2 linked regions of the Saccharomyces cerevisiae S288C genome follow. The protein of the gene in region 1 interacts with the protein of each later gene in a pairwise test. Each region holds a gene or a part of one and is shown in the gene's direction. Other genes may lie near its edges.

Region 1 (4,456 bases):
AACAAAGAACAGTGAAGAAATTGTCGAAAGGGAAGCAGACGTTTTTGAAGAACCAGGAAAGATGACTTCTGATGTTGAATATATTAACAATGAAGACAGTGAAAACGAGGATGATGATAGTCAGAATTCACCCTCGACGGACCACTCGCTGTCTTCGAATGAAAGCAAAGTTGAAGATGGTGACCTGTTTTTTGTAGATGAAGAGGCTCAGCAATCGCCGGATCTAACCAAAATAAAAAGAGTATGTATCGAGGAAATCGCAAGGCCAAGAGAAGTTGCGATAGAGTTCGATCCTATCTTAACAATTGGAAAGGTTGAACTTAGCGTTTCCGAAGGTAACGAAAGCAAGGAAATTAGTGTTGACGTTCCAAATAAGGGTAATAAGACATATCATCCATTTGCTGGTTACATTTCCAACGTATTACATGGTATGCATACTAGCGACTCGGACAATGATGAACTAGACTACGAAATAGAAACAGAGAATAATAGTGAACCTTTATACGAATCCTCAGCAAGTTCTGAGGTTGATCAAGGGTTTAATTATGTTGGCCAACGTCACAATTCCCGAGCTGACAACAATCTTTTACCAAGCCCTAGTCCGCAGTTGACAGAAGATATAAAATGTCTTTCAATAAATGGTACCAAAACATTCGAAGGCAATAATGATAATCTGCCATCTCCTGCTAGCGAAGAGTTAGAATTTGGATTCAAAGAAGAAGATTTTGTCATAAATACTAATGACATAGTGGTCTCCAATATAAGAATGGGCGGAGTAGACAATTCATATTATCTACGGTGTTACAGATTACTGGGAGATTACGACTTTCATTGGATTGACCAGGACTTACTCACAGACTTCGTTGTAGACGAGTTAGGTCTTCCTGAAGATAGATTACCTGCATATTTGAATTTTATTAAAAATTCTCTTATACCAAAAATTGAACCAGCTGAGCCAACCTACTCAGATATTCCGATTTCTGATTCGAGTGATGAAGGTGACAGCTATGAAGGCGACAGCTATGAAGATGATGAAGATATGGCCTCCTCGGTTGTGCATAGCGACATTGAAGAGGGTCTGGACGACCTAATTGCATACACATTGAAACATGATACAGAAAGATTCAAAACATTTGAAACCAAGTCCTTGGAAACTAAGGGTAAAGGTAAGAAGAAGAAGCTACTCATCGATGACGCCTTAGCGCTGGATACAGAAACGTTGGAGACGTTACAAAGTAAGTTTAGTAAACGCATAGAAACCAAAGCAAAGAAAAGAAAAGCCAAAGAAGATTTCATTGATCAGGAGAATAGAAATTCGAACGATATGCTCAAGAAATACCCATATGGACTCCATATTCAAAATATTAAAGATGAATTTGAGTCCTTTTTGTCTAGGAACAATGATAGACTGACTTTCCCTCCATTAGATCCTCATGGAAACAAGACCGTAATGAAAATTGCGAAGCATTATAATATGAAGAGTTCAAAAATTGGGAAAGCAAATCATACGTCGGTTGTTGTAGAAAAAATAAAGAAAACGAAATGGTCTTCTCCGAATTATAGTCTCATTGACCAATTGATGAGGCAGAGGCCAGTATTCATGAGAATAGATATAAGAAGACCGAGGGAGGAACAAGCTGCTTTCGAAAGAACTAAAACAATCAGAGGGAAATTTCATGTTAAAGAAGGTGAGATTGTTGGTCAAAACGCTCCAGAGATTGGAAACGAAAATATCGGTAGAAGAATGTTGGAAAAGCTTGGGTGGAAAAGTGGAGAGGGCCTTGGTATTCAAGGCAATAAAGGTATAAGTGAACCAATTTTTGCCAAAATTAAAAAGAATAGATCGGGTTTAAGACACAGTGAAAGTTAATATTTTCCAAGCTTTTAATCCTCATTTTCTTAACAATTGCGTATATACATATTTTTTTATTTTCTAGACTAGACCATGAAAAATCTATGGTAATATACACATACGGAGTTTTAGGTACAACTTCTCGTTACATATCCAATTCAATTATCGTAACTGTAAATAACATCTTCTTGTGAAAATTCGCGTTGCGCGACGTGAGGCGTTAGGCAATTTTTTGTGGAACGTTTATAGTAATAAAACAACTAATAACGTTAACGTTCCTCGGGAAGAAATCTACACATACAAAAAATAATCACTAGTAAATAGTGACAGGTCTTTTGTACATCATGACTGATTTCGATTTAATGAATTTTCCATTTCATGAGCGTTTGGATTCTCCTGTATCAGAGAATGGGGAAATTAAAGACGGAGAGCCAATCCCACAAAACTGGCTAAATGAAAATCATGTCGGAAAATCCATCTTACCTTTATTCGTTAACCCTGAAGATGTCATCAATTGCAACTTTTCCAATGCTAGAGACTCATATGAAGAGAACAAATCACCATCTATGGATCAAATGAATTATGCTAGAAATACTAGTTATCAGGAATCTCCAGGATTACAAGAACGACCAAAAAACGAAAAAGATAAGTCTCCCATAGGTACTGATGTTCATAAAAAGGATGTACCCAATTTCATACACTCTACTCCTAGAGAAAACTCTTCGAAGCATTTTACGAGGGCAAATGAACAGGCTTCTGCTCAACCAACTGATGAACATACATCGCCAGATATCTCGATAGAAGACTGTAACGGTGCCAAAATTTTTCTACAAAACTCCTTATCGAAAGAGGATTTTCGAATGTTAGAAAATGTGATACTGGGGTATCAAAAAAAAGTTATTGAATTGGGTAGAGATAATCTAAGACAAGAGGAAAGAGCAAACTCTTTACAAAAGGAGCTCGAAGCAGCTACGAAGTCAAACGACAAAACCTTAGATAACAAAAAAAAAATTGAAGAACAGACAGTATTGATTGAAAACCTAACAAAGGACCTTTCGCTGAATAAAGAAATGTTGGAAAAAGCCAATGATACTATTCAGACAAAACACACTGCATTACTAAGTCTCACTGACTCCTTAAGAAAGGCCGAGCTGTTTGAAATACCGATTGGTATATTGTTTTTCGATTTGTATGACTCGGAGGAAAATTCTTCAAAATTAGATCACATATTACAAGAAAAATATCCTAATATTAAAGGGTTTTTATGTGCATCACAGCAAGAAGAGCTGAGCCGCATTTCTCAGCGATTTAAAAATGCAAAAGCAGAAGCTGAGGATCTCCGAAATGAGTTAGAGAATAAAAAAATTGAAATCCAGACCATGAGAGAAAAAAATAATACTTTAATTGGTACAAATAAAACCCTTTCCAAACAGAACAAAATACTATGTGATAAATTTGACAAGTTGACAATCGATGAGAAGGAAATTTTGAAAGGATGTAATGAGGAAATAAAAATTAAGCTGGAAAGGTTGAATGAAAGACTAGGATCATGGGAAAAAAGCAAAGAAAAATACGAAACATCATTGAAGGATAAAGAAAAAATGCTAGCAGATGCTGAAAAGAAAACAAACACTCTATCAAAGGAACTGGATAATTTGAGGTCGCGATTTGGAAACTTAGAGGGAAATACTTCTGAAAGGATTACAATAAAAAATATCTTACAGTCAAGGCCCGATATTTCGGCAGAAGAATGTAATTTCCTTATGGTTGAACAAATTGATTCAGCAAATTTGACGACTTTACAAAATACTGTCAAAGAAATTGTTTTGGCTGTTGGTATTCCTTATCCAAAGTTAAGGCGAAAGATTCCGTTGCTGGCTATCAAATTGAAATATGAAAACATCATGCTGTCCAATTTTGCTCAACGTCTGCATAGACAAGTATATAGTCAAGAAATGAATCTAAAGAAATTTACGGATCAAGCATACTATGATTTTATGTCAACGCGCAGGATGGATTCCATAGATCACCATTTGGAGAGGTGTCTGGACCATCTGTATGATCATATCCTGGAGAAGATGGTGAAGTAATTTTTATTAACGGAGTCAATAGATAAATTGTTGTAATTGTAACTAAAAATTAAGGTATAAGATTAAATTATATTCTAGGAAGTATGTATAAAATATTCATTTGTTGTAAAATTGGAGGGCTTAAGCGGCCAACATTTTATGTTTACACTTTTTCTTGTTTTAAGAATAGAAAAAAAATATACGTGAAAAAAATTTGAAGTCATCGCAAAGTAGCTCTTTTTACATAGTAAAAGTCTGACCAGCCAAGAGTTAATATCAGTATAGTGATATCCTACTACTTCAAAAATAACGGATGAAGACCTGCTACTATGAGCTTTTAGGGGTCGAAACGCATGCTTCTGATCTTGAGTTAAAAAAAGCTTACCGTAAAAAGGCCCTACAATATCACCCAGATAAAAACCCAGATAATGTTGAAGAAGCCACACAAAAATTTGCTGTGATTCGAGCCGCTTATGAAGTACTGTCTGACCCCCAGGAAAGAGCATGGTATGACTCACATAAGGAACAAATTTTA
Region 2 (5,650 bases), on another chromosome or scaffold:
CATCGGACATTGGAGCATATATCAATTTATCTTTATCATCTAACCTTTTACGTCTTCTTGTCGTAGAGGCAGTTGTAATTTCTCCGTTAGCCTTTGCCTCTTCTTTCATTTTTTCACGTTCAAAATCATCCAGTTTCTGTTGGTAAAAAGGTGTGGGACATGGATCTGGTAATTTTTCAATTTGTGCTACTGAGAAATCACCAACACCAGCAATATGCACCCTAGTGCCCGGAGCAGAAGGCAAAGGAGTACCGTGCAAATAACCATAGATAGCGACTTTGCGGTCGATTTGCAGTCCTTGAGTCTCTATTAATTCCGGATGAGTTAAATCTGTGAATCTGTCAGCCAACATATAGGGATGTTCGTTCCTCCATTTTAATGGTCTGAATTTCATAACAGATATAAATCGTGAAAGGTTTAAAATCTCTCTATCAGGATACCTTCCATTAATCACACCAGATAGGTAAAATAATTTTGCACCTTGATAAACTTCCGTCCAGAATCTGTGCTTTAATCTTTTCTTAGAAGCTCTCAAAGTTGACTGAGATTTAAACAGATCAAGATGTGTAGCTACACCAAGTACTCTTGGCATACCGTGATGTTGAGCAATATTTAAGAATTCCATTGTTTCCATTTCAAAACCGAAATTACCGTCAATTAGTAAAAGAACCAAGTCGGCAATCTTAGCAATATCAATCATCGCATTCAGATCGTCCGCAGGGCACTCCAAAAAAGTTAGTCTTCTATGTTTACCAGAGACAACAGTAATAGGACCTTGAATATCATTCAAAGTGCTTTTTGTCATTCTCCTGACGAGGGACCGAATCAAAGTAGTCTTTCCTGTTCCAGGTGGACCCACGACAGCGACGATAAATGGAGGCGGATCATCTTCAGGGGTACGATCAACCATAGGAACATGCAGTTTTCTTTCGTTCACATCACTTGACCTTTGCATAGTTCTCGCCATCTTACCTGGGGCTGCCACGGCAAAGGCCTTTGCATTATGACCCTGCGTATGGAGCTTCTTTTTTGCTGTATTCTTCTCCTTCGCCTTACGGTGCTGTTTATTAGACTGCTCCATCGTTTCAGATAACTCAGATGGCTGATTAAAGGCTACTATTATGTGATATTTTTACCTTAACAGCGCAAATACTTTCCTTAATTTTGAAGCTTCACTTCAGCTCATCGCCTTGAAAATTTTTCATTTGTACGGACATTAAACTTAGGCGATAACAAAAAAAAAACTTCATCTAGATAATCTCAACTTTGAAATTACAGAAATATTTACAACAGTAGTACGAGTATCTGCACTATGGCTCACATGTCCTTAAAATAATCTAAGCTTACCTATCTGATATTTGTTTTGATATTGTTTAGGACCAGCAGTTTCTGAGAGTTTAGCAAATGCACCTTTACAGCTATCCTCAACTTTTGGAAGAGAAAGTGACAAGATATGTAACAATACTTGCATGAATCGACATTTGTTTACTTTGGTCCATTTTGTATATGATAGTGTGATTTAGCGATATGGAATTATGTGTATTTTTCTATTTGTTGTCATTTCAATATGGGATGACTTGTTTTCTTGTAACGCGCCACTTCAATAGTAAACATTATGAACCTGATAAATGTTAGCAGACTTAGTAAGAGAGACAATCATTTTCATTCAGTAAAAATCGCAATCCCTAGTTTGGCTCTTCTTCTAGCCGTACTTTAAATTCAAAGCAAAAATGGTTCTGCTTAACAGAAGGAAAATACAACCTAAGGAAATAGGACAGTCTGCTGATTCCTTCTCTGAAACTCCATGGGTGATTAAAGAAAGTAGCGAGCGTATAAATGATTATGACAGTGATTTAAAAAAGCTAGATTTTTACAAAAGGGATATATTCACCTGTGAGATTAGTGGAAAAGATGGCCTTTCGTATTTCAAGGCGTTAAAAAGCGAAGAACAGCACCGTGAAAAGGTCAGATATCTTTTACCAAAAGAACTAAGGAAGGCTATAGCAAATTTCGCAAACTTCAGTCCGATAAGGAAGGTAGGACACCTTGTAGAAAGCGCATTTCAGCGTTTTAGTAACCGTTTCTTTATAGGCGATACGGTGTGCTTGAAAACTATCCAAAAAAATGCATTGATTACCTATAAAGAAGGAGAGCCTAACTTGGTAGAATCACCAACTATTGAAAACAATGTCACGTTGTTCCTTGTCAAGGATGTGTTTCAATCTAACGGGATGATGGAAAGTGAAAAGGGAGAAATTTCTGCCCCAAAATTGTCACTGTATTTAATCACAGAATGCCTGAATCGAGAATCTAAAGGTGCGGCCCTAATTGTAGGCCAGAATGAAATTAAAAGGCCAGAATCACACTTTTCTAAATTCATAATTGCGTGTTTTCTTAATGAAATACTCATAAAAGTATCGAATAAGGAGCACGCACCATGGAGGGTGAAACAAGAATATATAGAAAGATATGATGTAAACCCTAAATGCTCTCCTAATATGATTGATTATTTGCCGGATAGAATGAACTCATCTTCTTCCGAGCTTTACACTCCTCTTACTATACCACCAGAGAGCGATGTTGAACCTGCTGACTGGAAGGAAACGTCGGAAACGTCGGAAACGTCGGAAACGTCACTATCTAAAATAAAAGCAATTGACGACGAGATTTCAGTCTCATTTGACCACATTTACGATAATGTGAACTCCCTTGCCTACAATGATTTGAAGGGAACCGTCGACGACAAGGAGCTTCCATTCACTGGGCCTTCGATACCATTTGAAAATATCAGCTACTTAGATAGCTCCTTAGAATATAAGAATATCGATCAAAAATGGTTCAAAGAGTGCAGTCAATTTCCAACGGAACGACTATTGGTTGTTTATCAATTCCTGAGCTTTTTTGGACGTTTTATTGGTCTATCACATTTTAATTTTGATCAGTTCCTTACTACTATCAAGTGTACTAGTCCGGAGGCTTTAGTAGATGAATATGTCAAAATAAACTTTCTTAAAACTTACAACAGCAAAGGGAGTTTCACAAATGAGAAGCCAAGAAACGAAATATATAATCAAGTGACCAGTAGTAACGTATCCCAGCGTGAGAAGGCTAACGTCTTTAATGCAGATGAGAGTCAACGAATACCTAGCAATTTCACCAGAAACCAGAAAATGAGGAAATTTATAACGGATAAAAGTACTGAATTTGTAATGTATTCCATTTTTAAAGGGAAGCCTCTAAAAAATGACGATATGGAGTTTCAATCGTACGAAAAAGTGAATATACTTTACATTGATATAGTTTGCTCGTTAATGTGTCTGATGACGGATAATGAACCTGATTGGAATTGTAATCTGATGGACAATTGGACTGAAGAAAAGCGAAAGGAGGAAGGAAATAAAACAGAAATTGATATAGCTATAGAAAAGTGTTTGAACTATGGAGATACTAGCTGGGTTAAACTTTTGCACAATAAAAACTTTAGCAACGGCAATTGGTTGATCTGTCTCCTTGGAATCTTGCAACAGAATACACATATGATAGCATATAGTGATGTCGCAAAATGTATCACAAAAAAAATACTACCTTTATCCATGAATTTTGTAAATTTAGGTGATGAGCTCTGGGATAACTTTCGCAAGAGATTATCTATAAAAGATAAAATTGATGTTTTATGGGTTCTCGTAGATTTTGCGTCCAATTTCTCGAGTTATATTAAGGAGTTGGTAGATAAAGTACCAAAACTGTGCAATGGAATCCGCTTAAAGTTGGATAGTGCAAAAAAAGAGTATATCAAATTGAAACGGCAACTAAAAACGTTAACCAAAAATCGCGTGAAGCTTCACAGCAACGTTTCAATGAACCGATATGGATCAGATGAATGTAAAGGTAAGGTCAATGCCCTTAAAGTGAAAATTGCATACTTAATGGAAGATATCGCCTTCCTAGAGGCAAAATTGATTCAGAGCGATATCAAGAGACTAGAGATTTTGGGTAAAGATAGAAATGGAAATCGATATTATTGGATGGACTCAAATGGATCGTCATCAGCCATCAGTGAAAAAAATGAGGAACTTTACAACTGCTGTTTTTTGTGGGTTCAAGGACCCTCTGAAGCGGATATAAACTTTTGCTTAGATGTCGACGTCGAATCTTTGAAAAAATGGGAGTTGTTAGCTAAAGCAAAAGGTACTGCCTACGCGACAAAAGAAGTCTTTTCAATATTTAGGTCGACAGACGGGTCTTACTATCAAATTGCTCAAGGTGAGAATTTCATGATAATTAATTCAAACGGTATCTTAATGAGGCCAACTATTCCGGCATTCATAGACAAAAAAATTATATCAGAAACTCCAGAAAAGCTCCTACTCTCTCATCATCAATGGGCTTTCTTCAACGATATAGAAGATATACATATGTTAGTAGATAGGTTGGATGATTTAAGAGAAAATGAGGGACAATTGAAGAAAGCTTTGACATCCAAAATGGACCGTATTGAAGTATCATACAAGCAACAGTTCAAAATTAAAAGGCGTATTGAATGTGATGAAACCTTCAAAAAAAATCACAAACTTTTGAAAAATAACGAGTTCACGTTTCCTGAACTGAAAAGAATTGAGACAACTTGTACATCCAACGGCCAACATTTTTCCAACATGGAGAAAATTTCCAAAAAACTATCAAGGACAAAGAATGATCTCGTTTTGGAAGCGATTTTAAAAGACGTAGCTCACCTTGGAGAATGTGAAAGAGCACTTCTCAAAAAGCAACAAAATTTGATTTATCCTTTGAATTTTCATTTCGAACAATTGAGGACGATAGACCTCGAATTTATAGTTGAAACGAAAAGAAAAAGGCAAGAGGATATTCTTACGAAGCTTTTAAATCATCAGAGGTATAAGCATATTAGTCATGTTTCAGGCTATGGGATAAGTTCTCAACGAGTAGATAAAGCTGCACATCTTGATGTGCAGGGTATATTAGAGGAGATTGAATGTCAACTTATTTCAAGACGACGAGAGGATGAAGAACGCAACTAGAAACAACTCTGCAGTTCAAATCACTCTTCCTGTATACGCCTTAGAAAGATATTAGAAATATCTTTTACTATTTAATCTTCACCATTCATTATTCCTCGTATATAAATTGGCCCATTTCAGGGCGTCTGACTGGAGTTGTATTTAGGCTTTACCCGGCGTTCTTCTGAATTTATAGCCAGCAAGGAAAACAACGTCAAAATTGGTCCTCGACTGACGCATTAGTAAGATTAATATTTAGCAAACACTATGATCTCCGTAACAATCTCTTCAGCTATTCCAACACTTGATGATGTCAGTCAATAGATTTACTTCAGGTCGACTCCCTGTTTTCCTTAGAAAGTCCCCTTTTTACTACTCGAGAGCTTATTTGCATCAAACATGTGTTTTCAAGCAAAATAAAGAAACTGCACAAGATTCGCCAGAGCTTTTAGCAAAAAGCTCACATCTGAATTCGAAACCACTAGATGTAAGCAATAAAGCACCAGTGAAAACTGCTCAGAATAAAATTCCTCTAGCTCATAGTAAATATGAATCGTCAAAGTACGAACTTCCCAAATGGAAAGAAGCCTTGGGTGAACTAGTAATTCGAGCATTTCATTTAGATATGGATA

Evidence for each region.
Region 2: the proteins of CNM67 (region 1) and YPL216W interact in a two-hybrid assay, tested with the Saccharomyces cerevisiae proteins (one large-scale study listed by BioGRID).

The regions. Positions count from the first base shown.
Region 1 is NC_001146.8:222,210-226,665, reverse strand, and holds CNM67 (Cnm67p), read left to right. Parts: upstream 1-2,196; coding exon 2,197-3,942; downstream 3,943-4,456. Other genes in the region: SQS1 (Sqs1p), read left to right, coding at 1-1,870; JJJ1 (Jjj1p), read left to right, coding at 4,235-4,456. UniProt on the Saccharomyces cerevisiae protein: Involved in the pathway that organizes the shaping and sizing of the prospore membrane (PSM) during sporulation. Required for the proper formation of the spindle pole body (SPB) outer plaque.
Region 2 is NC_001148.4:142,091-147,740, forward strand, and holds YPL216W (uncharacterized protein), read left to right. Parts: upstream 1-1,730; coding exon 1,731-5,039; downstream 5,040-5,650. Other genes in the region: GTPase BMS1, read right to left, coding at 1-1,081; CBP3 (Cbp3p), read left to right, coding at 5,326-5,650. UniProt on the Saccharomyces cerevisiae protein: May be required for the activity of an ISWI chromatin-remodeling complex.